Linked DNA regions of Stegostoma tigrinum. The protein of the gene in region 1 binds, or shares a complex with, the protein of each later gene. Links are inferred from orthologs where the notes say so. Each region holds a gene or a part of one and is shown in the gene's direction. Other genes may lie near its edges.

What was found.
Region 2: txnl4a (region 1) and lsm8 share a complex: the UniProt entries of both Homo sapiens proteins name them as parts of the precatalytic spliceosome. The link is inferred for Stegostoma tigrinum from reciprocal best matches to the Homo sapiens genes TXNL4A and LSM8.
Region 3: txnl4a (region 1) and lsm7 share a complex: the UniProt entries of both Homo sapiens proteins name them as parts of the precatalytic spliceosome. The link is inferred for Stegostoma tigrinum from reciprocal best matches to the Homo sapiens genes TXNL4A and LSM7.
Region 4: txnl4a (region 1) and lsm5 share a complex: the UniProt entries of both Homo sapiens proteins name them as parts of the precatalytic spliceosome. The link is inferred for Stegostoma tigrinum from reciprocal best matches to the Homo sapiens genes TXNL4A and LSM5.

The regions. Positions count from the first base shown.
Region 1 is NC_081358.1:44,278,079-44,285,848, reverse strand, and holds the start of txnl4a (thioredoxin-like protein 4A), read left to right. Parts: upstream 1-4,748; 5' UTR 4,749-4,858; intron 4,859-6,411; 5' UTR 6,412-6,443; coding exon 6,444-6,596; intron 6,597-7,770. UniProt on the Homo sapiens protein: Plays a role in pre-mRNA splicing as component of the U5 snRNP and U4/U6-U5 tri-snRNP complexes that are involved in spliceosome assembly, and as component of the precatalytic spliceosome (spliceosome B complex).
Region 2 is NC_081371.1:35,184,491-35,191,458, forward strand, and holds the start of lsm8 (LSM8 homolog, U6 small nuclear RNA associated), read left to right. Parts: upstream 1-3,949; 5' UTR 3,950-4,119; coding exon 4,120-4,150; intron 4,151-6,546; coding exon 6,547-6,587; intron 6,588-6,968. UniProt on the Homo sapiens protein: Plays a role in pre-mRNA splicing as component of the U4/U6-U5 tri-snRNP complex that is involved in spliceosome assembly, and as component of the precatalytic spliceosome (spliceosome B complex).
Region 3 is NC_081383.1:26,726,035-26,733,181, forward strand, and holds the start of lsm7 (U6 snRNA-associated Sm-like protein LSm7), read left to right. Parts: upstream 1-4,125; 5' UTR 4,126-4,192; coding exon 4,193-4,201; intron 4,202-4,552; coding exon 4,553-4,643; intron 4,644-5,376; coding exon 5,377-5,448; intron 5,449-7,147. Other genes in the region: sppl2 (signal peptide peptidase-like 2), read right to left, coding at 2,780-2,899, 3,863-3,910. UniProt on the Homo sapiens protein: Plays a role in pre-mRNA splicing as component of the U4/U6-U5 tri-snRNP complex that is involved in spliceosome assembly, and as component of the precatalytic spliceosome (spliceosome B complex).
Region 4 is NC_081358.1:3,935,161-3,942,796, forward strand, and holds the start of lsm5 (U6 snRNA-associated Sm-like protein LSm5), read left to right. Parts: upstream 1-4,618; 5' UTR 4,619-4,657; coding exon 4,658-4,700; intron 4,701-6,102; coding exon 6,103-6,198; intron 6,199-7,636. UniProt on the Homo sapiens protein: Plays a role in pre-mRNA splicing as component of the U4/U6-U5 tri-snRNP complex that is involved in spliceosome assembly, and as component of the precatalytic spliceosome (spliceosome B complex).

The DNA.
Region 1 (7,770 bases):
TTGTCTCTACTCCCCTTCTTGAACAGGGGAACCACATTTGCTATCCTCAACATGGGTTGGATGTTTTTGACAAGCGCTAGTATCATGTAGAAAGCATTTGGGTGCAGAAGTAAGACTTTCTTACTGCAATTGAACAGGGCCTTGCTGAGATCAGTCCTGGAGTATTGCATTCAGTTTTCGTCTGCCTATGTAAGAAAGAAGGTATTTGCCATAGACAGAGTGCAGCAAAGATTCACTATGTTGATACTGAGGATAGCAGGACTGTCCTTTGCGGTTAGATTGGTTCAACTGCGCTTGTAGTCACTAGAATTTAGAACAATGAGAGGTGATCTCCTTGATAAATGTAATACTTTACCAGGGCTTAACAGACTAGATGCAGGGAGAATGTTCTCTGTGATTGGAGAGTCCAGAATGAGGGATACAGTCTCAGAATGTGGGCTAGACCATTCAGGACTGAGGTGAGGAAAAGTTTTTTTTAACACTCCAAGGGTAGTGACTCTGTGAAATTTGCTATCACAGAAGACAATGCAGGCCAACTCACTGAATATATTGAAGAAAGAAATAGATATATTTTCAGAAATCAAATGCTCCAAGGGTTAGAAGGAGAGAGCAGCATTGAAACAGAGGATCAGCCATGATCCCAATGAATGGAGGTGCCGGCTCTAAGGATCCTGCTCATAGTTTCTTTGTTTCTATGAGACGCAACATCATTTATGAAAAAGTATTTCACAGGGCTAGTCAGAGGGGCCTAGAGGAGACTTCAATAGCCGGAGTTGACAGATTGGCAAATACCTTCCAGAGGGACAGTTGAAGTCTACATTGATGTTTAATTTACTCAATGTCTGCTCGTATATTCTCATCCCAGGAATCAGTCTGGTGAACCTTAATAGCACTTCGTATAGGAACAAGTGTGTCCTTCCGTACGTTCAACTTGCATGAGCGAAACTGCCAGAGCAGGCTCTATACACGAGTTTCCACTTCTGACAGAAGTTTCACAAACAAATGCAATCGTTTCATTTCTCCACGGAGATGGGCTTAGTTGCTGCGCTGCTCTTTAATGTTCAGTTTTCATGCTTATCATTGTCATCAACATTAGCATCTTCACATTAGGTACAGCTAAGACGTGCCTTCAAACATTTCAGTGATTTATTTACAAAAGGTAAGTATAGAACACAATAAATACATGAGAAACTGAAACAGTGCCGCTGTTAAAGGTCTCATAGCTTGGTATATAGCGCCATCTAATGTTTTCAATAAATATTTCACGACATTTACTGCTAAATTCATCTATGTTCATACATAAAAGGCACTCAACATTATTAAAACCGAAAAAATATTCACAGATTGAGGGATAGAGCAGTGAGACCTTCATTTTGTTATCAGGATTCTTACTAAACCAAAATTCCAGGTGCTGTCAGGAGGGATTTTTTTAAAGAATCGTTTATCTGGAAAAGATATGAACAGACAGTGGAAGCAGATTCAGTAGTAACTTTGGTATCAGAGATAATGGGAACTGCAGATGCTGGAGAATTCCAAGATAATAAAATGTGAGGCTGGATGAACACAGCAGGCCAAGCAGCATCTCAGGAGCTTTTGTGCTCCTGAGATGCTGCTTGGCCTGCTGTGTTCATCCAGCCTCACATTTTATTATCAGTAGTAACTTTGCAAGGACCACTTAGGTGCTTGAAAAGAAGAACATTTCAGAGCTACGATGAAAGAGCAGGGAGTGTATTGGTTGACTTTCAGGAAACTAGCACAAGTAGAAAGGTCCAAATGGCCTCCTCAGTGGCCTACAATTCTCTGATTCCATGATGAGGAAAAGGAAGAGGACAGCATTTATGACAATGTGGCAAAAATGTCGGATACAAAAGTGTAAATGGAACGTGGGTTCCAAATTAGATGGGATAAAAGGGCAAAAAGCTGAACTGAGATACTCAGGCTGTGGGAAAGCTGAAATATATATGGGTGATAATAAACATAGGGAGTTAAATAAAATGAAAATGGCAATGAATGGTGGATATGTGTTTCTCTGTGTGGTTAAGCCCTAAGCATTCTTGACTCCATTCTGATCAATTGCGATCTAACCTCCCCTCATAATGCCAATGTTATCTCCTAATATAAATAGTCCTCTTTTTGTGGATACAATTGCCCTCCATTTTAAAACTGTCAAAATCATATCCATCCTAAAAAAAAACTACTTTACTGTCCTTGGAAGCCACACTATCACCAATCTCTCTGCCTATCTCCAAATTTCTTGAACCTCCCAAATATGTGCCTATTTTCCGACAAATCTGTAGTTTTGGCTCTCAAATTAGATTTCTCCTGATCACAGCACAGAAATGGCCCTAATCTGTGAATGTGAATATCTTAGTCCTCCTCATTCATCTCAAACTGGTTTGTCGCTTTTATCTTCAGCTTATTGTTAATCACCCTCCACCATACACGTGCAAAAAAGTTAGCTTTTCCACCTTGGCATAATTACCTCTGTGCAGACACTGAGCCAGATGATCGTTGATCTAGGAATGGCAAAGCAAGGGCACCCATGACTGACCTCAAAGAGGAGTGCCAGTAAAAATCCAGAACTCAATTTAACAGTTCACATTGCTTTGGATAGTGCTGAGGCTCTTGAAATGCTGTTGGACCTGCAACCAACCAGGCAAGTGGGGAGTATTTCAGCATGCTGCTGACTTGTGCGTTGTAGATGGCTGGGAGGCTTTGAGGATTCAAGAGGTGAGTTACGTGCCACAGAATTCTCAGCCTCTCACCTAGTTGGTATTTATATGGCTGGTCACAAAGCCTCTCCTAAAGTAGATCAATTAAAAATTTTTAAACCAAATTTGACAGGCTTTTCTTAGAAGAGGGTACAAAGGGTTATGTAAATGGAGTTAATATATAAATTAGAATAAAATCGGGGTCAATTCCCATTTTGGGTGGGGTGGCTTCACAACCTGCTTTCTTGCTCTGCCTGGGGAGGGAGGAGGTGGGTGAGAGATTGCTGTGCTGTGGTCAGATCTGCTTTTGTATGGAGAACTTAAGGATAAGAATGTACGGATCAATCACAAAGTCATTTAATGATGGATTAGGTTCCTGAGGGTGAATAATCTCCTCCTGATACCATGTTTCCTGTACAATCAAGAGGAAACTGATCCTAACCATGCCAGATCTGTGCCACACATTAGCAGACTGCACTCTAACAAAATGGAGTAAACTAAATTATGAGCAAGCATATTTTTCTTTGAACCTTGGGCCACTGCAGATGGGCAAATTTATCATGCTCAGCAGAATTTCCTTTTGAATAAGAAAAACAGCAGTCCCTATGAATTTCTCTAACCCTAACCCAAACTCTAATTTCTTGTTCTGGATGAATCATGCCCTCAAATTAAAAGGATTGTTGCTATTAGTACCAACGTGAGATGAGTTACAATCTACAACATCTTCCATTGGGGTCTGCAAATTTGAATTAAAGCTAAGCACTTTAAAATAGGAACAAGTTCTACTGTGTTTTCTTACTTGGTGATGAACTGGAATGAGGTAGGATGGATAGTAGCACATAGTCATAGTAGATGAACCAGTTTCCCAGCATTCAAAGTTATATGTAAAGTCATTGCACAACTGAATAAATCACATTCAGAGGAATTTTGATTTTCATGAGAACCATGGAAAGAATTCTGATTGCAATTTAGTGAAGTTATTTTGTCCCAGGACATAGATGATTACCACCACAAATCCATTATTGTTTCACAAAAACACATACAAGTCTGGCATCCAGCTGTGTAAGTGAAAATGATGAAATGAAGGACCCATTAGCATTTTAACCGGTCATCGTATATCACTCAGCTTGAAAAAAACTGCTTCAAATTTTATTTTTCAGCAAGGTATCTAAAAATATTTGCCGATTAAAGGGAATCCAATCTATGACAATCATATTCAGCTACTTTGTCAACAATGCCCAAAACTAGAGGGCATAGGTTTAAGGTGAGAGGGAAAGGATTTAAAAGAAACCTAACGGGCAACTTTTTCATGCAGAGGGTGGTGTGTGTCAGCAATGAGCTGCCAGAGGAAGTGGTGGAGGTGGGTGCAATGATCACATTTAAAATGCCTCTGGATGACTTCATGAATAGAAAGAGTTTAGAAGGAGATAACAAAGTGTGGAGCTGGACGAACACAGCAGGCCAAGCAGCATCTTCGGAGCACAAAACCTAACATTTTGGGCCTAGAGAGTTTAGAAGGATATGGGCCAAACGCTTGCAAATGGGACTAGATTTATATAGGATATCTAGTCAGCATGGACTCTATCAATGTTGCCATCAGCCTTCCAGCATCATTACCTCTGAATCTGAGTGTTTGAACATCTTTCCAAATCCCTACACTGACATATGCAATACTGAGGCAGTGCTGCACTGTCTGAGACGCCATCATTTAGTTGAAACATCAACTCTTGCTTGGATGTAAAGGATTCGGTGCCATTATTTGAAAGAAGTGTTATCTCCCATATCCCAAACAATATTTATTCCCTGAGCTCATATTACAAAAGACAAATCGTCTGGACATTATGACGGGGCAGTGGGCTTGCCGTGTACAAACGCGCTGTTGCATCCCTTGCACTTGGCTGCCCTCCAGTGGTGACAAATTGCCAGTACATTGCTACAAGGTCCGCCACAATGCAACCTGTCACTTCACCGGCAGAGGGACACGGGGAAACATCGCGAGGCTTTCCCCATTGGCCCAGTGATCCCGCGCATGCGGCCCGTCCCCTTACCGGCGGTCGCCATCTTGGTTGTCAGAGGCCCTGCAGCCGGAGCTGGGGCCGGGGTGAGGCGCCCTTGCTCGGTGTCATTCCCGGGGATTGGTGTCTGAGGTGAGCCCGCCTAATACACACAAACACACTCGCTCCTGTTCAGTCGAGTATTTCCAGCGATACAGATGAGGCAGGTTTACTGTCTCTGACTATTCCCCCCCACATAACTCTCAGTCATTCAGATACACACCGGGGTTACTATTAAACACCATCAGTTAGCTCTCAGGGGGTTGGTTGTTTAAGAGTTTCTTTCACCTCCGCTGTCCGCCTGTCTTTTTTCCTGGTAAAGGAAGAGGCAATTACCCGCCATGGTTACTGAGTTGATTCAGGGCACTTTGTAAACTTCACTGTCACTCCTGGATCGCTGGAGGCCTTCTAACTCATTTAACTTTCTAATTAACCCGTTCAGAGGTGTCATCGCACGCCTTGTGGCACAGGGCCAGGGGAATTCTATCCGGTCCTCCAGGCCCAGAGGTTAGGGCCCTATAATAACCCCTGAAGGTGGGCTTTTAGAGTAAGAGAAATGACACCATTTCTCTTCCCCCTCCATCCTCCCCAATTAAATCAAAATAAAAGTGACCACTTGCCCTTCTCAAGAGGGACATTGCTGATTGTCACCACAAAACAAAGATCATTTTTAATCAACTTTGGTGTTTACATCCATCTCAACTGTCCAGCCCACTCCAGTTTCATTGATATCAGACACTGTAAGCAGCCCCTCAGAAACATGATCGAAAGCCATGAAAGTTTGCCAGGTGACAGGAATGAGTGCTGAGGAATCGCCCAAACTTAATTCGTGGAGATTTCTGTATTTTGTAACTTGTAGCCTCTGCAGAAATATGACCAAAGAATATGCAATATGATAGAGAATCAGTTGGTTACTGTTTGAAAACTTAAAAGTGGATTGTTGCTGTTTCATTCCTTGGAATTGGAACATGTGTTTTCAACGACAATGTTACGTTTTGTAAAATGCAGACTTCATAGCGATTCTAACCAATTTGATTAACATATAGCACGGAACAGTAAGGAGGTTATATTCTATAAGTATTATGTAGGTTATGAGTTATAAATGAACATGTATTTCCAATCCTTCAGAGGCTCCCTCACCCCGACATAAATGATTGCTGTACTCCTTTCTTCAGGTGTCTTGAGCATCCCAACATTGACTCCTCCAACAGCTTGTGACTGTGCCTTTGGCTGCCAAGGCCCTAAGCTCTGGAACGCCTTTCTTAAACCTCTCAGTCACTCTTCCACACACCTCCCTTCCTACTTTAAGACTTGCTTTGAAACTTGCCCTTTGAACAAGGTTTTGGGCCTAAGTACTAAAATCCCTCTTTATGTGGCTTGGTGGCAGACTTTATTTTGTCATATTTATGGGAAGTTTTACAGGGTCAAAAACAATCAAAATACAGGTTGTTAATTGCTTTACAACCGTCATGATTCTGTTTTTTAAAACCTCCAAAGGCCCAAGCTATTATTTATTTACGTCAGTCTGCCCGAGTCTTAAGAACTGTACTATTTCTGTGAGCACAGAGCTTTTATTCATAAGACTAACATTTTTCTTTCTAGTCTAGAAGTGGTTTAACTCATTTTTTTGGTTTTGTCATATAAAGGGGTAGTAGAAATAGTGCAACTCTTTGCCGCAATGTCGTATATGCTGCCACATCTCCACAATGGCTGGCAAGTAGACCAGGCCATCCTGTCAGAGGAGGATCGTGTCGTTGTCATTCGCTTTGGTCATGATTGGGATCCAACTTGTATGAAGATGGATGAGGTCTTGTATAGTATTGCTGAAAAGGTAAGCCTTCATAAACATCAGCAAGTGCACCCAGCGTTAGGTAAAGTTGTATTCGGTTAAATACAATGTTAGAACTATATAAATTTCTTCTATTCATTTGTGGGATATGGGCATTGCTATTCAGGCAGCATTTATTGCCCATCCCTAGTTTCCCTTGAAAAGGTGGTGTTAAGATGCCTTCTTGAACTGTTACAGTCTATGTGCTGTAGGTTGATGCACAATGCCCTTAGGGAGGGAATTCCAGTATTTTGGCCTAGAGACTGAAGGAACAGCAATATATTTTCTCATCAGGATGGTGAGTGGCTTGAAGGGAAATTTTGCAGAGCGTAGTGTTCCCATTTTTCTGCTGCCTTCGTCCTTCTAGAAGGAAGTGGTTGTGAGTTTGGAAGGTGCTGTCTGTGGATCTTTAGTGAATTTCCACAGTGCATCTTGTTGATAGTACATGCTGCCACTAAGTGTCGGTGGAGAGAATGGATATATGTTGATGTGCTGATCAAGTGGGCTGCTTTATCCTGAATGATAAAATGTTGCAGCTGCACCCATCCAGGCAAGTCAGGAGTTTTCTGTCACACTCCTGACTTGTGCCTTTTAGTTGATGGATAAGTTTTAGGAAGTCAGGAGGTGAGTTACTCATCACAGTATTCCTAGTCTCTGATGCTGTTGTAGCCACTGTCTTCATGCGCAAGTCCAGTTGAGTTTGTGTTCAGTGGTAACCCCCGGGATGTTGATTGTGGGGGATTCAGTGATGTAATAACATCTCTTATTGGAGATGGTCATTGCCTGGCATTTCTGTGGTGTTGAATACTACTAGCCACTTGTTAGCCCCAGCCTGGATATTGTCCAGATCTTGATGCATTTGAACATAGTTTGTTTCAATATCTGAGAAGTTGCAAATGGCGCTGAGCATGGTGCAATCATTGGCGAACATCCCTGTTTCAGACTTTATGATGGAGCGAAGGTCATTGTTGAAGCAGCTAAAGATGGTCAGACCGAGGACACTACTCTGAGCAAATCCTGCAGAGATGTCCTGGAGCCATAAACATTTTCCTATGTGCCTGTTTTGACTCCAACCAGCAGACAACTTGCCCCCAGATACCTACTAATTCAACTTTTGCTAGGGCTCCTTGATGCCACACTTTGTTAATATGGCCTTGAAGTCAAGAGCTGTCACCTC
Region 2 (6,968 bases), on another chromosome or scaffold:
CTCCAAAGTCTGTTCACTCTCTGACCGAACTTCTACTCAGGACTGCTCCTATAGTTTATTAGCTCCTGATCCAATCTGTAATTATCCAAGTTTGATTCATGTTCCAGCTGTATGCAGCTCATGCTCAATTTTGCGTGTCTCTAACCAGGTCTGAAATGCCTTTTACCATTGATAGTCATCATAGCCTCAATTGGACGAGTACGCTGGAAATAAAGCGCCACAATTTAATGAGTCAGGACAAATATGAACTGTGACTAATATATTACTCGTTAAAGTCTTGTTGTGACCATTATCTAAGATTAAAAAAAAAGTTTCATTAACAAATATATTTGTTATAAAATCATCTACCAAGCTGTAAAATGGATTATTAATTGCTAATATGAAAACTTAAGCTACTGACTGCTTTAAACCTAAAGATATAAACATTCATATACAGGACTGATAAGACAAAAAGTTTCAGGAATATTGTGGGTGGAAACTATAGAAGAAAGGAACAAAGTCTGCAGATTAAGAGTTCAAATCGATAGGTAGAATGTCAGTTATTTTGTTGTGATTGGTTGGCTCGTTGAGCTTGTTCATTAGTTCACAGACTAACCCCTGCTGGCTAACATCATCAGTGCAGCCTCTGATGAAGCGCTATTGTGTTTTCCTGCCTGGTATTTAAACTCTGGGGTCTGTTGGATTTGGTTTTCCTTTGCAGTGGTGTGTGTATAGGGTTTGGTTCTATGTGTTTTGTTGATGGCCTTCTTGGTGGAGAACTAGGCCTCTAGGAATTTTTGTGCTTGTCTCTATTCGGCCTGTTCTAGGACCCTGGTGTTGTCCCAATCAAACTGGTGGTTCTCCTTATCCATGTGAATGGAGGTGATTTTGCATTGGTCATGTCTTTTTGTTGCTAGTTAGTGTTCATGTACTTTTGTGACCAATTTTCTTCTTGTCTGTCCAGTGTAATGTTTGTTGCAGTTCTTGCATGGAATTTTGTGTATTATGTTGGTTCTGTCCATAGTGGGTACTTGGTCTTTGGTTCAGGTGAGCAGTTGGCATAGGGTTGATGTGGGTTTGTGTGCTACTCTGATGCCCAGTAGTCATAGGAATCTTGTGGTCAGTCTGGATATGTTCTTGATGTATGGTAGTGTGATGAGTGTGTTAGGGTGTGCAGTAAACTCCCTGTTGTCTGTGTGATAGGCATCATCTGATCCAGTTGTTTGGGTATCTGTTGTCCTTGGATACTTGGAAGTATTCTTCTTCTTTTTGGAGTAGTTCCGGGTTGCTATGGTGTGTGGTCGCTTGCTTAAATAGTGTTTTCATGCAACATTATTTGTGGGTGTTAGGGTGGTTACTGTTGAAATTCAGTACTTGGTCAGTGTGTATGGCTTGTCTGTGTACCTTCATCAGGAATTCCCCATCGGTCCTACGTTTTACCATGGTGTCTAGGAGTGGGAGCTGTTCGTTCTTCTTCCCTGGTGAATTTGATCCCGGTGAGAGTGTTGTTTATTAGTTGGTGTGTCTCCTCTAGTTTGGTCTGTTTAATGATGACAAAAGTGTCGTACGCTTATCGGATCCATAGTGTGGGTTGGATTTGTGGGAGGGCCATGCATCACCGCTTCTGCTATTAGTCAGGAGATAAGCGATCCCATGTGTGTGCCATAATCTGTTCATAGATATGGTCATTAAAGATAAAGTTGATCATGAGGCATAGGTCTTGTAATTCCAGCATGTTGTCTGTGGAGATGGTGTCACTCGGGCCTCATTCTTATAATAGTGTTGCTTGTGTTTCTCTTGCCAGTGGTGTGTCAATGTGAATAGGGTGGTAACGTCAAAGGACACCATCTTCTCATCATCAACTGTTCTTATATCCTTGAAGGAACTGAGGAACTCCTGGGCTGAATAGATTGAGTGGGGTGACTTGCTGATGAGGTACTTTAGTCTTTGTTGTAACTCCTTGACTAACCTGTGTGTTGGTATGCCTGGGAGGGAGACTACAGGTCTATGGGGTACTTCCAATTTGTGTACATTTGGGAGGACATAGAATCGGGGCTGTAGAATTGTCCCTTCTGGTTTCATTTTTAGGTAGTCCATTTTGTTGATTTGTCCGGTCTGTTTGAGTCTCTTCGGTGTTTTGATTATTTTATCACCCAGTTGGGATGTTGCATCTGTGTGCACTTGCCAGTATGTATTCATGTCTGCTAGTAGTGTCCGTGCTTTAGTGAGGGAGCCCCGTTTGTTTAGTATTACTATCATACACCCTTTGTCTGCTGATATATAATGATGTTTTTGTCTTTTTTCAGTCCTTCTAGGGCCTTCCTTTCTGATGTGTTCAGAGTGTCAAGTTCGCTCCTTCTGGTCAATGTTGAGATCACTGTCTGCATTATGGCTTGTTGTAAACATCCTGAAAAGTGTGTAGTGATGCATTTTGTGGGGACTAATAAGACAATGAGTACAATTTTAATTTAAATGGTGGGACAAGGAAATACAGAGGACCAGAGGGACCTTTACGTATATGCCCATGGATCCTTAAATGCAGCAGGACACGTAGATAAGGTGGTTATGAAGACGTATGAGATACTTGCCAACAGTATTAAACGGTAGCCATGACATTGAGGTGCCTAGGTTGGACTGGGGTGGACAAAGTCACAAGTCACATGACACCAGGTTACAGACTAACAAGTTTATTTTAAACCACAAACTTTTGGAGCGTTGCACTTCACCTGATGAAGGAGCTGTGCTGCAAAAGCTTGTGATTTCAAACAAACTTGTTGGACTATAACCTGATGTTGTGTAACTTCTGACTACCGTATTAAAGTCACTAGAGGTTTCAAGGAGTTTACGATAGAGCTATATACGATGTGGCCAGTTTGACTATAGCCACGACAGGCCAGAACAGTCCCTTTGGCCCATCTAATCTGCACCGACCTATTTATACTATCCCAAATCCCAGCACCTGGTTTATAGCTCTGAATTCTCTGACATTGCAAGTACAGATCCCTATCCTTTTCAAAGGTTGAGGTTTCCTGCCTCTACTGCCCACTCCAGATCCCCACAATCTTCTGGATGAAAGTATCTCTCTTCCAATCCTCCCAAAAGCTTCACATTCACATCAGCAGCAGGTGGTGCTGGCCTCGATTACTGCCGCCTGGCTGGGCGCTGTCTCGGCTCTCGGCTGCTCGGGCCTGTTTACCCAGCAGCCCTGGCGGTGTGAGCGGGAATTTCCGGCCGGAGCCGCCGCTGTGCAGCAACATGACCTCGGCTCTGGAGACCTACATCAACCGTATCCTGCTGGAGGAGCAGCACGGGGCGGGGGGGATCACTGTACCCGGAGCTCCCTCCCCCTGGGGGGGGGGGGGGAATCACTACCCGGCGCTCCCTCCCTCTGGGGGGGGGATCACTGTACCCGGCGCTCCCTCCCTCTGGAGGGGGGATCACTGTACCCGGCGCTCCCTCCCTCTGGAGGGGGATCACTTGTACCCGGCGCTCCCTCCCTCTGGGGGGATCACTGTACCCGGCGCTCCCTCCCTCTGGAGGGGGGATCACTGTACCCGGCGCTCCCTCCCTCTGGAGGGGGGATCACTTGTACCCGGCGCTCCCTCCCTCTGGGGGGATCACTGTACCCGGCGCTCCCTCCCTCTGGAGGGGGGATCACTGTACCCGGCGCTCCCTCCCTCTGGAGGGGGGATCACTTGTACCCGGCGCTCCCTCCCTCTGGAGGGGGGATCACTTGTACCCGGCGCTCCCTCCCTCTGGGAGGTGGATCACTGTACCCGGCGCTCCCTCCCTCTGGGGGGGGGGGGGATCACTGTACCCGGCGCTCCCTCCCTCTTGGGTGGGGGGAGGCGATCGATGTATCTCATTGAGTATTTTCCCCCACCTGGCTTCATTAACCTCCGTAATTCCTGATGGTTGTTGCACAAAACTGCAGCCACGTTTAATAATACCACAAGAGGATTCCTTTTGTATGGAAATAATATTGAATGACCTTGATAGCGATTGCACTGAATGTGTCACAGTGCGGAAGACATTTGCTTGCCTTCAGGCGGGTGTTCAATGAAAGTGTTTGTTTATATGCATTTCCAGACTCTCAGTGTTGGGCTCTGACTGTAAAGGGGTCGTTGTACACGATTCAGGATGTTTTGCTGCAATTGCGCGGGGCTTTGGGGTGAGATTGCACCTGGTGCATTGTTTTTATTTTGCTCTAAAGAGGGGGTGCAATAGAAGTTCGCCAGATTGAACATTCAGATGGGATTGTCCTGCCTGGACAGATTCAATCAATCAGGCCGATATTCCGTTGAATGTAGAATAATGAAGCATTATCTCCAAGCATTTCAAGATATTAAAGGGGCTTGATAGGATAGACATTGAGAAGTTATTTTCCCCAACTAATGTAGAACTGGAAGCTTAGTGTCAGGATGAAGGGTAAGCCATTTCTTCACGTCATATAACAAGGTGTAGAGCTGGATGAACACAGCAGGCCAAGCAGCATCAGAGGTGCAGGGAGGGCCTAGGCCCGAAACGTCAGCTTTCCTGCTTCTCTGATCTGCTTGGCCTGCTTTGTTCATCCAGCTCTACACCATGTTATCTCAGATTCTCCAGCATCTGCAGTTCCTATTATCTCTTCACTTGTGAGCCTTTCTTTTGTCCCAAAGCACTGTGGATACATGCTCAATGAGTATACTCATCCTAAATAACAAAAATCATGGTGATGTAATCAAGGGACAAAAATAGGGTGACAGAGTGTAATTTTTAAGTCAAATATTAGCCAATATCTTTTTCAATGTAGTTTGAGGAGTCAAATGGCCTACTACTGTTATTACTTCACATTTCGGACATTGCTGTCTGCTAGAGAGTAAATGTTTGGATGTAATTCAGAATTAGAACTCAAATTTGTGTCAATAGATTTAATGCTAAATTGCCCTTGGGGAAGCTGTGAAGTATTATTTTCCTTGTAAATTGATTCATGACTTGATGGTCCAATTATTTTAATGTGCTGAGTCAAAATATAATTTTTTTGGCACAGTAATGTTTAATTATTTCTGTTTCATAGTAATATCCTTTCAGATATTGTAGTAAAGCTGTTTCTGCATTATAGTGTCATGGTAGAAGTTTACCAGTATCATAGCTGTAGTGTTGAAGTCATGTGTGATGATGTTCTGTTTCCCTTGTAAGTTAACACTAGGTGGAGAAATGATATTGCTGCATATTAACAGAATGTTTTCTGCCAAACAATCGATTCTGGGACTATCTTAGCTGGCCTGTTCTTAAATTGGGTCTTGCACATAGAATGATAAACTTTGTATTCAAAGCTGTTGCTCACATGGTTGTTACAGAATCAGTTAGAATGGTGGAATGTGCTTGATCTGTTTCTAGATACCTCACTACAACTTGCAACTTTAAAAATTTACTTTTTTCTATGCATCAATTAGAACTATACTTCTTAAGCATATTTGCAGTCATTCTCAAAGGGTATCCAGTGTAGTCTTTTCATGTTTAAGAATTTTCACTTGGGTTCAGTTTTTCTTGTCGTGATAAGTGTGGCACCAGTTGGAGGGATATGATGAATTTTCAAAAATACGTACTTCAGTCAGCCTCAAAGTTTCTGGGTTATTTTAAGTAATTTTAGAAAAGGGAGCACTTTTTTGTTCAATTTTTGTTTTGTGCTGATGTCACTCAGGATGCAATTTCCAGCTCTGACATCTTTCATCTAGAACATGCCCCAGTGCATCTAACAGAGGGCTAAAAACAATAATTGGAGAGTATGAAAAGTAAAGCTAGACATATACCTTTATAGGATTTTATAGATGGAGAGTAGCGGGTGAGTGGTGTTTTGAGAGTAATGGAGTGATTGCTGAAGTGTGAGGAGTCCATGTGCGTGTGCTTGGGTGATTGAATTAGGATGTATACAGTGGAGATGCCATGCGTCTACAAGATTTTGATTGAGAAGTATGAGACAGGATGGTGATGAAACTGAATAACGTGGATGATAGAAGAATGGGTGGTGGGGTTTTGTAGTTGATAAAGGGTGACAATGAAAACTTGAGGTTTTTAGTTGCAGTATAAGTGAAAGAAAGAGTGACGATGAATGATGCCATGGGTCTAGCATTAAACTGCTATAGCAACTGTTTAGATGTGGGATTTGAACTTCAGGATTAAATGCAAAACTAACATTGTGAAGTTATGGTTCACGCAGAGTGAATAGATCAACAGGGAATGGAGTTGTGGTTGGGAGGCTAATGGTAAAACAAGAATTTTTGCTTGAATCTTTGTAATGTCAATTTGGAAAATATTCTGTCTATTCATAATCTTGTCCATCTAATTAATATTGGGCAATGTGAGAATAGTGGGGGTGGATGTGGAAACATTGATAAAGAAAGAGCTGGCTGTTGGCAAAAGTGGAAATTGACCTATGGCTATGGATCTTTTTAATTCTTTCATGGAGTATGAATGTTACAGGTAAATTCAGCATTTATTGCCTATCCATATTGTCATTGAGAAGGTGGTGCTGATCTTAAGGAAGAGATGCAAAAATCAACATATTACCTTAACTTGTGTCTTCAGGAACAGTTGCAGTGGTTACAGCAGATGGAAGAATGATTGTGGTGAGTTAATCTTCATTTTGGAGATCTTACTAATCAATTATAAATCTTGGTTATTAATATAACAGTTGTGGAATTCCAGAAGAAATATGAAAATCTAATTCTTCCAGGTCAGCATAACTTGCGTTTGTACTGAAGACTTCAAATGAACCAGCAGACTCAGTTTTATACTTGAAATTGTCCAGGTTTCACTCAGTTGGAGAGACTTCCTGGTTGCTTTATGTACTGGTTCTGAGAAGGTGGGATTTCACCAGGCTCAGGAGCATGCAGAGCAGCAAGTTTTACAATCTGCTTTCTTTGCAAACATGGGGCAAAACAAAAGAGGAGCAGACTGCTCAAATATTGAGTGAGGCTGCAATCTGTGGTGTTTATTTATGCTTGTAC
Region 3 (7,147 bases), on another chromosome or scaffold:
TAGACTTCACACCTGACCTCCCATCTGCCACTGGTCATAAATTTATGCTCATCCAGAACTCTGTCACTGTATCTAAACTTACACCAAGTTCCATTCACCTACTGCCATGCTGCTTGTTTCCCTGTGTGTCAACAGTAGGAAAAATTCCTGTCCTTATTTTCAAATCCCTCTATCCTCATGCCTCTACCTATCCCTGTAATCTCTACTGGTCCCTACAAGGAATAAAGTGAATGAACTGTAAGTATATGTCACTTCTGGTGGTATGGCATGGTTGTCATCACTGAATCATGGCTGCAAGATAGTCTGGGCTAGGAATTATAGCCTGGGCATGTAATATCTACAGAAGTGATTGGCAAGATGCTAGAGGACAAGAAGTGTCTTAAAAAATAAAATAAAATATATATAAAATAGTGCAAACACTCAAAAAAATATAATGAGAGATAAGCAAGCAGTGGAGACTTTATGACTGACAAATAGAAAAGAGTTCATGACTGAAGTATAAGTTGTGTCTTGGCCTTCTGGTAGCATCTGCAATACAGTAGGCTGTACAAAGGCTCAGACATAAAAATAGAGTGAAGGCATAGTAGCTTTCATTTTCACCTAGACTGGAATAAGTAGATTAGCATGTCAGAATTGTAGTGAATCTCATAACTGCATCTACAGAAATACATCTTTGAGAAAACACTGCGCAATATTAGATTCAATAAAACCAGACTTTAGTTAACAATCTAACAGCATACAAACATTTATCTAATGGCAATCAGAACGTGATTGAGTTCAACACAGTGTTCAAAGTGGAGAAATGAGAAATTGCTATTCAGATTCTAGATTTATACGACAGTCTTCAAAGGGATGAGTTTTAGTTATAAGTCAACCATAATAAACAAAACAAATCAAATCTGCTTTTTGTCAAATGTTTTAAGAGGTGGCAAGTCAGAAAACCAAGCAGCTGAATTTTCTGATGAAAGATAGTCAGCATTGTGGATGGAAGGTTAATTGTTGAGACCTTCCTCTATTTAATATTATACTTTGAAAATGTGAGGTGAGAGCTGAAGGTCGGCTTTGGGCTGTGAGCAGCAGCCTTCTTTGTAAAGCAAAACAATAATTGACTGATGCTTGTATACAAGGCCTGGCCTAAAAGTTAATTGCAGGTTGATTCTTGTTAAAAAGTGCTCTACAGATGCTTGCACTCCAGAGAAGCATTACGCTCAAACGAATGCCACATGTTTGCCTAGTAACAGAAGCCTCACAGACAACGAGAAACCAAAGTTCAAACTGGTTTTGAACTGTATTTAAGTCGGAAGGATTTTGGCTACCACAGCTACAGGATGATTAGATTGCTGCTTGAATGTTGTCTCATACTGAAAGTTCAGGCAATAGAGTTTCAGTTATCAGAACAAAAATAAATATTCCTCAAAGCTTACTGAAGGCTATGCGCATACATCAGCATCTTCAGAAATCAAGCAAGATACAATCTCATGAGCCCGTAATGTTCTAATTGTGGAGGCTGCTTAAATGAACTGGCCAGTTACAACTCTTTTTTTTTTCTTTTTTGATTTATCTCTTAACTGTGTCTTTTTATCTTTGAGTGAGGGGCTGGAATCAAAGAAAATTAGTCTTAAAACACAGATATTAATTGGATTACATTGTGGCTTAAATTTGCTCTGATAAAGCTACTGTATTATTTAAAAATTGTGGCATGTTTTGTTTAAGCTTTAAACATGGTGTCTCAGTGTTGTGATTATTCAAAACATCTGGTTAGAAACCATTGGGGTCTACTGAGGTTCAGTGACTATTTTAATTTTCTGTGTTGTGGATACAGGGATAGGGATGATTTGGCTGGGTGTCTCTGTGTCATAACATAATATTACATAGAAATCAACAGATGAAGTGAATGGGTTAAACTGTGTCAAACGCATTTCAACTTGGCAAGCAAATATGAAACCATCCACCATGGGCCAAAACAAAAAGAGGTCAAGGAACAGTACTTACTGAAATACTAAAAAGCTAGAGATAGTACAGATCAAAATAGCTTTGGGAAATTCAGGTCCATAAATTATTGAAGTTTCACGAACAGGTACAGAACATAATCATAAAGTTGAATGGAATGCTGGCTTCTGTATGCAGAGGATTAAAATGCAAATTGGCAGATGGAACACTTTTGCAACGAAAAGGACAAATCCTTCTCCTATCTAGCTTCATACTGAAAACTACTGGGCACAAGTAGCTCGGATGCTTATCTTCCCCACAGAAACATGCTAAATGGAAGATCAGGCTAAATTAGATACGTCACCAGCCAGGTGACAGAGGAGACACACCGAAAGAACAAGCCTGCTTCCTGGTGGGATCCAACCAGTACATTTGAAACATTACAATATGAGAAGACAGAACGACAAGTTAACTAACATGTACGTACATTTTATATTTAATTTTGATTTTTTTTAAAAACCAAAGAACTCGAAATATTTTAAATTTTCACTAACATGATTTTGTTCCTTACAATTCACCTATGCCCAATCTGATGTTGCAGACTTATCTTCAACTGCACTTGCTCTAGGTCAAGAAATTAAGTAGTGCAATTAGAGGCTTTACCTGCAGCTTTGGGGGTTGAGAAGTTACATTCCCTGTCCAGGGTCCCTCCTTGGGAGGATTTCAAAGGCATATGAACCCTCCTGGAATGAGAAGCCAGGCTGAGTTCCAGATATGCACGATGACTATTCATTCTCTAAATGAGCATTCCGCAATGGATTTGCCAAAACGTCCTGTGATATACACTTACCGCCTTACTGAGATCATGAGGTAAATAGGCCCAGTAGGGATTGAACTGGATGCAGTAATCTTTTGTATTTCCATGTTCCTTATCAGATAGGACGTGGACCATTCCATACTCAGTCACCACCTGCATATTTCAGGGTAAAGTGCATCAGCAAAGCAACTCCAGAATGTATAAACAATGCCAGCCCACGTATGTCTCAAACCCACAAATAACTCAGTTCCTGAATTAACGCACTACATTTTGCGCAAGATGACTAACTGCACAATTACGCTCTTCATTTCCATTTTGATCATTGTTAATGATTTAATTCACTGTCAACAATACTGAGATAAAAGTTTCCTTGATCCAAGAGAAGAGAATATTCTACCACAAATGACGCATTTGAACCATGCATTGGAATTAACAGCCGGTTCAAGGGACTGTTTTTTGAAGGCCAGTGATTGCAATGACACATACTCTGCCCCACTCAGTGATGCAGGGAGAGGAGTAAGGGGTTAGGACATGAAGAAAAGTGCCCCAAGGGGGGGAAACATGGGGACTGTTGGAGGGGAGAGAAAGGGTTTGCGAGGATTAGGATGACAGGGAGAATTCGGATAGTAGTTGGAGCCAATAGAGGATGGTCTATAGTTAAAGGGGAATGGGGGAATAGCAGAGAAGTGTGGGGGTGTTTGTGGGAGGATTGGGGAGATTGCGGGGGATTTGGGGAGATTGAGCAGTGAGAACAATTGAGGGGCAAGGGATGGGGGATAGCGGGGGATGCAGGGATTGCAGAGGAGAATGGGGGAATAGCAGGGTGTGTGGGGTTTTGCAGAGAGGATGGGGAGACTGCGGTGGGGTGTGGGGGAGTGGGGAGACTGCAGGGTTGGAGTATGGTGATGTTGTGGGGGACAGGATGGGGTGATTGGATGGTGAGGATTGTGAAGGAAGGTGTATGGGGAATAGTGGGGGGGGAGCAGATTGGGTAGAAAGGAAAGAGGGAGATGCAGAGCTGGCCTGGGGCTGAGGGTGACAGGTGTCTAGTCGGGTCCTGGGACTTGGGGGACGGGGAGAAGGAATGGGGTGCCGGCCCGGCCCCCGGGCTGATACCTGACTGAGCTGAAGGACGAACAGCAGCAGCCTCACTCCCAGCGCCATCTTTCGGATGAGGTTCGGACCCCTCCAGAGACCACAATGGTAGCGTCCACTCAGGGTCCGAACAATCCAAACACACAAAAATAGGGGGAGCCTATTTTGAGGAAAGCCGGCGGCGAACGGCCGATTAACTTCGGTTTTGACTGGAGACCCAGAAGCGGCCGGTGCCGAGGGGAGGGACCCCTGACGGTGAGGGGCGGGGCAATGGGGCGGAGACAGCCGGAACTCGGGTCGGCTGCCGAGGTTAAAGGTCATGGGGTTGTGGGGTTAGAGGTCGTGGCCGTGATGATGGCGGTGAGTGTGTGTGTGCGGTCTTTGCTGGTGGCTGAGTTTTAAAATCTCGGGGGTTGTGTTTGGGGAAAAGAAGGCCTGTTAATGGCCCACTGGAGCCTCCGGTTACATTTATTATCTAATTCTTTCCTTGGGCCTATGAAAGTGGAACACCGGTTTTGTTATAACCCCCCCCCCCCCCCCCCCAATTTGGCGGTTTGTTCGTGGCCGTGTCAGAATCTCTGAGTGGGACCAGGTCGATTTAGCTGTCACGGAAACCTTGCGGGCTATCGGAGGCTCGGGTACCGATCACGAGAAGCTCGGATTGCAAGAATCGGGTTCTAACTTTCTTTGTTTTTGTTTCTTTGAATTCAGGATAAGGAGAAGAAAAAGAAGGAGAGTATTCTCGACCTCTCCAAGTACATAGACAAAACAATCCGTGTGAAATTTCAAGGTGGACGAGAAGGTGCAGTTTTTTAAAATTTCGTCTATATATGTTACGTAAGGTTGACTTTTACCAGACTACAACAGCTGTAGTCTTTCCCCAACCAAAATAGGCAGGCTGTTTGGACAAACGTGGTTGAGTTTGGGAAAGGCTTAGGGGCTAGGAGCAGGTAGGTGGGACTGGTTTTAGTTTGGAATTGTAGTCCACATGGACTGCCTGGACCGAATGGTCTCTTTCTGTGATTGGGAAAGATAAAAGAACTGTGATACAAATTGTATCAAACCAATAAAAAGTCAGTATAAACCACATCTTATTCCTTTAGGAGTAGTGCTGTAAGTATTGTTTTACTACTTAGTTTAAGCTGGTCAGAGGCTCCTGTAAATTCTTCAATTTGGTTAAAAAGCTGCTGAGGTCAACTTCAAAATGACTAGAATCTCTAACAATAATCTTTCACCTTCAAGACAATGAATTGGGAAATGATGTAGATACTACACTTACTGAAGAATTGTTTTAGTTCTTTGCTGTTAAATTCATAAGGTAAAATGACTTCAACTGAGAATTTGAAGCTTTACTGTTTCAGAACAGTTTCATTGGTTGTTACTGAAGTCTGCTTTGGGAAAGTTTGGGTGTTGAAGGGGAAAACAGTAAAAGATCTTGTGTATTTTGAGGTAATGTATGTTTTGACTCTTGTATAGTGTCTGATGTTGTAGTTCACTTGAAATTTGGTGAAATGTGTTTGGTTTTTTTTTGACAGCTAGTGGGATTCTGAAAGGATTTGACCCACTCCTCAATCTTGTATTGGATGGAACAATAGAGTATGTGAGAGGTAAGCCCCAAAGATGTTCCTAGTTTTTATAACTTGATGGACAATCTATGAAACAAAAATTGTGAAGTGTATTCTAGACTACAAAAGTGTAGAGTTGGATGGACACAGCAGGATCCGAGGAGCAGGAAGGCTGACATTTTGGGCCCAGCATCTGCAGTTCCTACTATCTCTGTCTGTAAAGTGACTTCCAGTTTTTCTGATTTGAAAAACATTGTATGACTTTTGATTTTAGTTTTTTTTTGCATAGCTCCTCTTCTCTTTATCATCTTCCCTTCTAAACACTTTTGTATGCAGCTTAATTTTCAGCTGTATTTTCTACCTGCTAGTTACCATAAACACTTTTTTTTTCTGTTTTTTTTATCCAAAGAGCTCTGGATTTTTCTTTTGCTGTATTTTTGTGAGGAAATATACATTGTGCCAGAACCCTTTTTTTTTTGTTTTAATCTATCTTTTGGAAGGCATCTTATTGCACATGTAATCTTTCACTCTGCCCTTTTGATCCAGACTAACAAGAACAAGTCTGTTCTTGCCCCATTAAAGTCTGCTCTGTCTAATTATCCTTAGTTTGCTTTGTCTCTTGTTGCCACGGTCCTCCCAAATTTCATGATACAATGATCACTGTACCTTTTTTTAAAGGTTACCCTACTGATACTACTTCCTAAGAAGTAAGTCCAGCAGTGCTTTCTTTTTTAACTTGTTGCATTGATGTACTGCTGTTGGAAATTCTTTTAAATGCATTCCAAGAATGTATGTTTGTTTGCTTTTCTCTTTTTCCTAACTACCACTATTCCAACTTCAATTGGAGTAATTGAAATCTCCCACATACTCTTTGCTTGCATTATTCTGTAATTTCCTTACTGATTTGTTCCTCTACATCCCTATTACTAACTGGTGGCCTGTAAACTACACCCAGCAATATAATGGACTCCCCTTGTACCTTTTGCTCCAGCCAAGTTGATTCTGTCCTTGAAGCCTTTTTTTTCCTCCCAAGCAGCTGTCCTTCACCAAGATTACCACTGCGTTGCTTTCTTGCTTTACCCTCTCCCTGTAACTAGGAATGTTTAGTACTTAGTTCAGCCTTTCCTTTGCCCAGCCTGTTATTGCCACAGTATTATAACTCAATGTGGCGATCTGTACTTGTAACTTGTCAATCCTGTTTACTTCCATTCATATGCACAGTTGTAATTTCTCCCTTTAATCCAGTTATTAATTTGTTCTACACTCTAATCTTTTAATGAGCTTTCTAAATTCTTACTACAGGACTACATCACCACTCATTTCTACATAAATACCAATGTAGACCATGATCTGCAGTTGAACGCATCCCTCGGGAAGAATGTCCTGTAATTACTTTGTGACATTCTTGATTCTAACACCTGTGAAAGAAAATGCATTGCTGGCATCACATCTTTGACTGCAGAAATGTCTCTAGTCTCCTAACAAATCAGTTCCTTTTTAACTGCTGCTTTCCCCCTTTTCCTTCCTTCCCTCCCAAATAGCTGGCTCACTCATGTTGCCATAGGCTTAGCATCTCCTCTGAAAACCTTTACCATTATCAGAATGAAAACTGATTCTTGAGTTAAACCCCTGCATTGTCTTCCTGGTTCTCTTGGACTGTCTGATAGTCACATGTTCCTGATCTGCCTGCATGCCTCTAACCTACACTTATACTGGCTCTGTGAACATGCTGTCTGTAACT
Region 4 (7,636 bases), about 40 Mb from region 1:
TACCCATCCAGATGCCTTTTAAATGTTGTAATTGTACCAGACTCCACCACTTCCTCTGGCAGTTCATTCCATACATGAACTACCTTCTGTGCATAAAAGTTCCCCTTAGATCCCTTTTAAATTTTTCTTCTTTCACTCTACACCAATGCCCTTTAGTGCTGGACTCCCCACTTTTGGGGAAAAGACCTTCACTATTCACCCTATCCATGCCCCTCCTGAATTTGTAAATTTCTGTAAGATCACCCCTCAGCCTCTACACTCCAGAGAATATAGCCCCAACCTACTCTGACGCTCCCTACAGCCTCATAAATCTTTTCTGAACCCTTTCAAGGGACTATAATAATTTAGGATATCTGGTTTGCACAGATGAGTTGGAACTAGGGATTATTTCCATGCAAAAAAAAAACAAGGAAAAGTCATAATGGAGGTTCATAACTAAGAGGGCTTCATTCGGTCAGTTGAAAGAGATTGGCCCATGTGAATTAATACAAAGTCTGGAAAGCTAAACAGTAAAATAAATTGATGCACTTCAAGGTGAAGTAGACTGTGCAAACGATATACATTCCTGAGGGGAAACAGAAGTGCACCGCTTCCTCAAAAGTTGAGCTTCAAATTAAAAGTGAAAGTAGACTTAGATATCAGGTTAACAATATGGTAGAAAACCAAGCTGAATACAAGGAGTTCTGAGGGAGATTATAAGCACATAAGAGTTGCAAAGAGAATGACTGCAATAAGATCAGTGGGTATCATAAAAGGGAATGGGGTGAAGTTTTTTTTCCTTATAAAGGTATGAAGAATAAAACTACAGGCAAAGTAAAAGTGAGGCAATTAAAGATGGATGACAATAGTTTTTGTGGAGATAGAGGACATGGCTTAGGCACCTGATGATTGATTTGCACATTTGTTCCTTATGAGGAGGATGCAACCAATTTAGGAATGTGATAATCAAGTCAGTGGATATGATGAAGGTAATTGATTTGGCAATTAAATGCTTAATTAAATGCAATCCCATCCAGTTGGGATATATCCCAGTCGTGGCACGGGGTGGAATTTGAATTCTGATTTGATTACTGATGAGATTAAGGCACACATGAGAAGAAATAATTACCAAATTGCAAATACTATTCAGAGTCCAATGTCTTCAGTTCAGTCTTCACTACAAACCTCAAAAGGCCATTCAAAAAATCATGTTCATAATGAATCAGATAACGAGATGTTTGGAGAATAACCTTCAGTCCTTCACTGTGATTTTGACTGCACCTCAGCTCCACAATCTTGACCCTTGGGCATTTAGTGTGAAGGGTTGCAGCCAAGTCAGAAATCCTTGAGCGTCTGCTCCTGGGCCTGGCCAAGTTAGCTATTAACAGGTCCAGGCAGCAACTCTGGAGTGGTGATAGTTGTTGACTGTACACCCCTCCTTTGTAGATACATTCGTGCTGGGATGCTCTTGCAGAGGGAGCACATGGTGTCCACCAATACTCTTTATGCCTGAAAGAGGTAGGCATTGCAGGGGTAACAAAGTGTGGAGCTGGATGAACACAGCAGGCCCAGCAGCATCTCAGGAGCACAAAAGCTGACGTTTCGGCCCTGGACCCTTCATCAGAAATGGGGAGAGGGAACTGGAATAAATAGGGAGAGTGGGGGAGGCGGACTGAAGATAGAGAGAAAAGAAGATAGGTAGAGAGGAGAGATAGAGACTTCACCAGCTTCAAAATCACCCCTTCCCCCACCGCATCCCAAAACCAGCCCAGTTCATCCCCTCCACCCACTGCACCACACAACCAGCCCTGCTCTTCCCCTCCACCCACTGCACCACACAACCAGCCCTGCTCTTCCCCTCCACCCACTGCACCACACAACCAGCCCAGCTCTTCCCCTCTACCCACTGCATCCTAAAACCAGTCCGACCTGTCTCTGCCTCCCTAACCTGTTCTTCCTCCCACCCCAAGCCACACCTCCATCTCCTACCTACTAACCTCATCCCACCACCTTGAGCTGTCCATCTTCTCTGAACTGACCTATCCCCTCCCCACCTCTACTCTCCTCTCCACCTATCTTCTTTTCTCTCCATCTTCGGTCCGCCTCCCCCTCTCTCCCTATTTATTCCAGAACCTTCACCCCATTCCCCTCTTTGACGAAGGGTCTAGGCCCGAAACGTCAGCTTTTGTGCTCCCGAGATGCTGCTGGGCCTGCTGTGTTTATCCAGCCTCATGTTTTATTATATTAGATACAGAGGAGAGTATAGGTGAGGAGGTAGGGAGGGGATAGGTCAGTCCAGGGAAGACAGACAGGTTAAAAACTGCTCGATGTCCAAACGTGATTACTTCAGGACATGGTCCAGCGGTTGCAAGGCTGAAGAGGTTACAACAGAGTTGTAGTGGGCGAGAGATTCCCTGAGGCTGGTCCGGAGGGAGGAGGGTAACTTCTTCAGGTTAGGCATCCCTGGAAGAGGCTTCGCAGTGAGGTTAAAATTGTATCAGTGATAATGGGAACTGCAGATGCTGGAGAATCCAAGATAACAAAGTGTGGAGCTGGATGAACACAGCAAGCCAAGCAGCTTGGCCTGCTGTGTTCATCCAGCTCCACGTTTTGTTATCTTGGATTCTCCAGCATCTGCAGTTCCCATTATCACTGAGGCATGGCAGGGGTACAGTATTTTACTTCACCTTCCAACTCCATTTTAATTTGTCCCCTTCCTGCTCTCCCTCACCTTTGCTGATTTGCACTTAATGAATAAATTATGTTTCCACTTGAATACTATGATTTACTGGTGCTAGTTAATAGATGAGGAGTGTTATTTGGTGTTAGGGAGGAAAAAAAACTGTTCAGTTTTGTGTGTAAGTGCACTTCTGGATACGATAAAAGCAGAATAACTTGCACAAAGATTAGAAATATATCTTCTTGTATCTGCGTTATCATTAATAGGATGTTATTAGTGTATAACTGTCAAATAATTGGATTGTTGTAAAACAAACTTAGTGATTTGTTGTGTATAGATAAACCTGAAATCAAAATTACCCTATTTGATCTTGAAGGGGATCCTTACGATATCAAATTGAATTCTTTACATTGTAAAAGACAATGACTTGACAGCTTTTAACATTTGTTTATTTAACTCTTGTAAAATTAATTTATTCAACAAGCAGTTACATTTATTTTGTATGTTTACTTTTTTTTTACACATTTCAAAAGGGCAAACATGAATGCTCAAACCAGCTGTTCACATTTTATATTCAGCAGGTAAGTCAGCTCCAACTTTCAAACTTTTTGGAAGCCTTAAAGGTTGACTTATGAATATTCTGGGTGGTATGTTTTGAGAAAAATAACTAATGTCAAACCTCAGTTTCACCTGATGGAAGACAATTCAAAGAATTGAGCCCTTTGTGCTCAGAGGGCAGCTTTCTCAGTAAACTTTTGAAACGGTGTTTCCTTATTCTCAACACCAGAACGCAATAAAGTGCTGGATAGTCTAACATGTGGACAATACTCTCTAATGTAAGACTCTGTACCAGAAATTGTTTCTTCCTACCACATCTGTTACCTTTCAATAGCTTGAAAGCTTAAATCTAATCACTCCTCAAGCATCTAAATTCCAAAACAAAACCAACCCTTGTTTGTAAAATCTAAAAGTGTAACACCTGGAGTGGAGGCATTATCGTGGCAAAGCTATGCTGCACTTAAGGTCAAAAATCATTCCTGAAGCGCAGATCCCAGCACATGATACTTCAGGTGTAGTTTAAGTAGGGTCTAGAATAACTGCAACAGGGCTTGAGTCATGAAAGCTTTACAGCATGAAAGCACGTCTTTGGGTCCATTGTGCCGTGCTTCTCAAACATTAATCTATTCTCCCGTTATCTAGTACTTCTCTTTCAAGTACCCATTTAAATAGCTCAGTGTCTCGAGGATTCCTTCCTCTGCCGCCGTTTTAGACGGAGAGTTGTAGATATCCACAACCTCTCAGGTGCAGAGTGAAATCCCCTCTATACTTGCTGCTCCTCACCATAAAACTACGCCCCTTGCTCTAAGAGGAGAGATTTCTCCTGTACACCTGGACCACCGTTATTTGTGTAGCTGTCAGTACTGAACAAAAGCACCCCCGTTCTGTTTTTATTTGCAAAAGTATATGGCCCTGGATTAACAGCGGCTAGTGGAGATTACTATAGTTTTCAAACTGACACGTCTTTGGTCTTTACCTGTCCTTTACACCACCCCGGTTCCCGTTGAATCATTCCAGCCGTTTGCTCCAAGCTGTCCTCCTGCCTCGCATCGGGTCTTCAAGCTGAAGCGTTAACCGCAAGGCCCGCTAAGGTATTCCCGGGGCGTTCAGCAGCAGCTGCTAGCTGGGGTGTGGGGGTGAACTTCTGCGGCGTGAGTGGGCAATTAAACGTGAGACGCGGCGGGTGGGGTTTGAGAGACGGAGGATATGAAAGATGATCCATAGCCAGTCAGGGGATGAGCCCGTCTCTGGGGTGCGTTCCCCCTACTTTCCGTCAGGCCTGAGGCCCTCATCGAGTGGTTTCCGCGGCAACCGTGGGGCCCGCCGTTGATTGGCTGCTCCGTCTCCCCTGATGTCATCACGCACCGTCGCCGGCCGGCGCGCGCGCTCCGATTGGCCCGGGCCGTGCGCAGGCGCGGAGTTGCTGCCCTCTTGGTCAAGATGGCGCTGAATGCAACGAATCCGTCCCAGCTGTTGCCTCTAGGTAAGAACTCGCATGGAGCCGGTTACCTACACCCCCACCTTTCCCCGGCCTGACATCTTAAGGAGGGGGAGGAAATGGTGGGAGTTTGGCCGTGGGGGTAGAAAACTTGGGTGAAATTGGCTATGGAAGAAAGCGCGAATTAGGAGGGCAGCTCGAGCGGGGTGGAAGGGTGAAGGCAAATGGATGGAATGGGAAATGCAGGCTGAATGAACCGGGGAGAAGTGGACAAATTAATGGGGAAAAGGAAGAGAGTTGAGCTGGGATGGAGTAAGGGAGACAGGATATGGAGCAATGGCCTAAGGGAATGGCAAAGCGATGCGGGAGACGAGAAGGGGGTGTTGGGGATGAGGAATTGACAAAACGGTAGAAGGAAAGTTGAACGTGACGGACCTTGGTTTGGCGTGAAGGAATTAAGTGTGGGAGAGAGGAGAAGGCTGAGGTGGAGAGAAAGGGGACAGGCAGTTAGGTTGGGGGGGGAGATACAGAGGTTAAGGAAGAGATAGTAATGGGTGTACGGAGTTAAAAGTAACGATGTCGATGTGAAATAATTTGAGAGGGGTGGTGAAGTGAATATTAGCTGAGACTTGGTATCATTTGAATGGAAGTGTGATGAGACTCTAGCTACCTGAATAGGTAAACTGAATTTGCTCTCTAGTGAACATACCTTGTTTTAAAAAATCATTGGGTGTGGGCATCACTGGCTAAGCCAGCGTTTTAAGGAAAGCAAGTTATTTAGCCTACCTTCAACCAGTTAACATACACTTCTGGAGCAGGTGGGACTTCCAGGTTCAAGGGTAGGGAAACTGCCCCTACACCACAAGAGGGCACCCTATGTCAGCATTTGTTGCTGATTTCTAGTTGCCTTCAGGTGGTTTTGAGCTGCTATCTTATTGCAATCATTGTGGTGTAGGTACACACAGAGATAATGGGAACTGCAGATGCTGGAGAATCCCAAGATAATAAAATGTGAGGCTGGATGAACACAGCAGGCCAAGCAGCATCTCAGGAGCACAAAAGCTGACGTTTCGGGCCTAGACCCTTCATCAGAGAGCAGGGTCTAGGCCCGAAACGTCAGCTTTTGTGCTCCTGAGATGCTGCTTGGCCTGCTGTGTTCATCCAGCCTCACATTTTATTATCTAGGTACACGCAGAGTCCTGTTAGGAAGGGTGTTCTATGATTTTGACCCACTGATAGTGAAGACAAGGCTTTTCGGGTACAAAGTGTGTACAGTCTGTGACTGGATGGGGATCCTGCAGGAGGTGCTTGTTCCTGTTTATTTGCTGCCCCTTTGAGGTGCTAAGTGTCAAGGGTTTAGAAGGTGTTGTCAAAGGGCTGTTTATTTAACTACAATGTCTTTGATCTCTCTTCACATTCTACATCTAACTTTTTTCTTCTATTCCAGAGTTGGTGGACAAATGCATTGGCTCACGGATTCATATTGTTATGAAAAATGATAAGGAGATTGTAGGAACACTTCTTGGTTTTGATGATTTTGTCAGTATCCTTTTATTTGGCATTTTCTACAACAAAATGCCCTGGATGCATGATTTTGGGATTTGTATTCCTACTTAGCCCTTCAGATGTCCAGTTTAGTTAACTGACAATAATAGTTGCTAAAGCAAGTGGTTTTGAATTCAGAGGGGTAGTAATGTGTTTTGAAAGACTAACAGGGCAAAGAAATGTGCAATAGATGCTGAAAAGTAAAAGGGAATTGAGCAATGTTGTCTAATAATACCCACCCACCTCACCATCAACTCTTTAAACATCCAGACCTCCTAGGTCTCATCCGCCCCATTCAACTCCTGCTATCTCTTCCCTGACCTCTGCTTCTGTACTGCCATCATGCCTGCTGGCTCACCACCTCAGCCTTTTCCCATCAGCCCCTCTCCACCTGCCTGTTCATTCCATGTCTTTCTCTTTGTTCTTTCCTTTCCCACCTGAAAATCCGTTTTATCCCTCCTCTCCCTCACTCAATTCTCTGCCATCTTCAGACATCTGTTGACATATAGATGAGTTGGTCAAGTAGGACGTTTCCTTTTAGGCAAAGTATAAGATACAAGATTTTGTCAGTATCCTTTTATTTGGCATTTTCTACAACAAAATGCCCTGCTTGATGCATGATTCTGGGATTTGTATTCATACTTAGCCCTTGTTGTGCTAGAATTGGACAAATACTAGTTGGCCCATAGTTCTGTGCAATTCTGGTCACTGACATAAGGGAGATTAGTCGAGTTCCTCCTTGGACTGAATAAATATAATTTTGAGACATTATTGGTTGGGCTAGGATTGCTTTCTTTGTATAAATAGGGCTTAGGAGGGCCAAAAGCATGCCTGTCCACATTATAGGAATGCCCCTTTTCTCTTTGTTAAATACTCTTAACCAGAGGCATAGATTAATGGTTAAGCAGTAGTAAGCTTAGAGGGGATTTAGGGTGAAAATTCTTCAGTCAAAAGGGTGGGGTATGGAATTCACGGTCATAAAGTGCAATAAAATCAGAAAGCCTCAACATTTAAGTACTTGGCTTTGGCCTAGGAATGCTGTAACGTATAGGGAACATACTGAGTCCTTAAGTGGTATGATGGTAGATGGTTGCTACTCAGCTGTTGACACAGTTGTGTGATTTGTGTTTTATCATTTTACTGAGAAATATACCAATTGTTTTATTAATATTAATAGAGAATCTCCATCAGAAGGCTTCAACCTGACCTCTGCATTTAGAGATTTCCCTTACTCCCTCAAATAAATAGTATTGTTGGGTGTCTGGTGCTTTGCATTTTGTAATCTTGTACTTTTCAAATTTTGAACCACTTGTATGCAGTCTTATTTACCAACTAGGTTAGGCATATTTTATTTCCAACTATATTGCACAAAACATTTAGACATTTCTCATTCTATTTAAAATGTGTTATTGTTTAGTGTATAATCAATTTTTTAA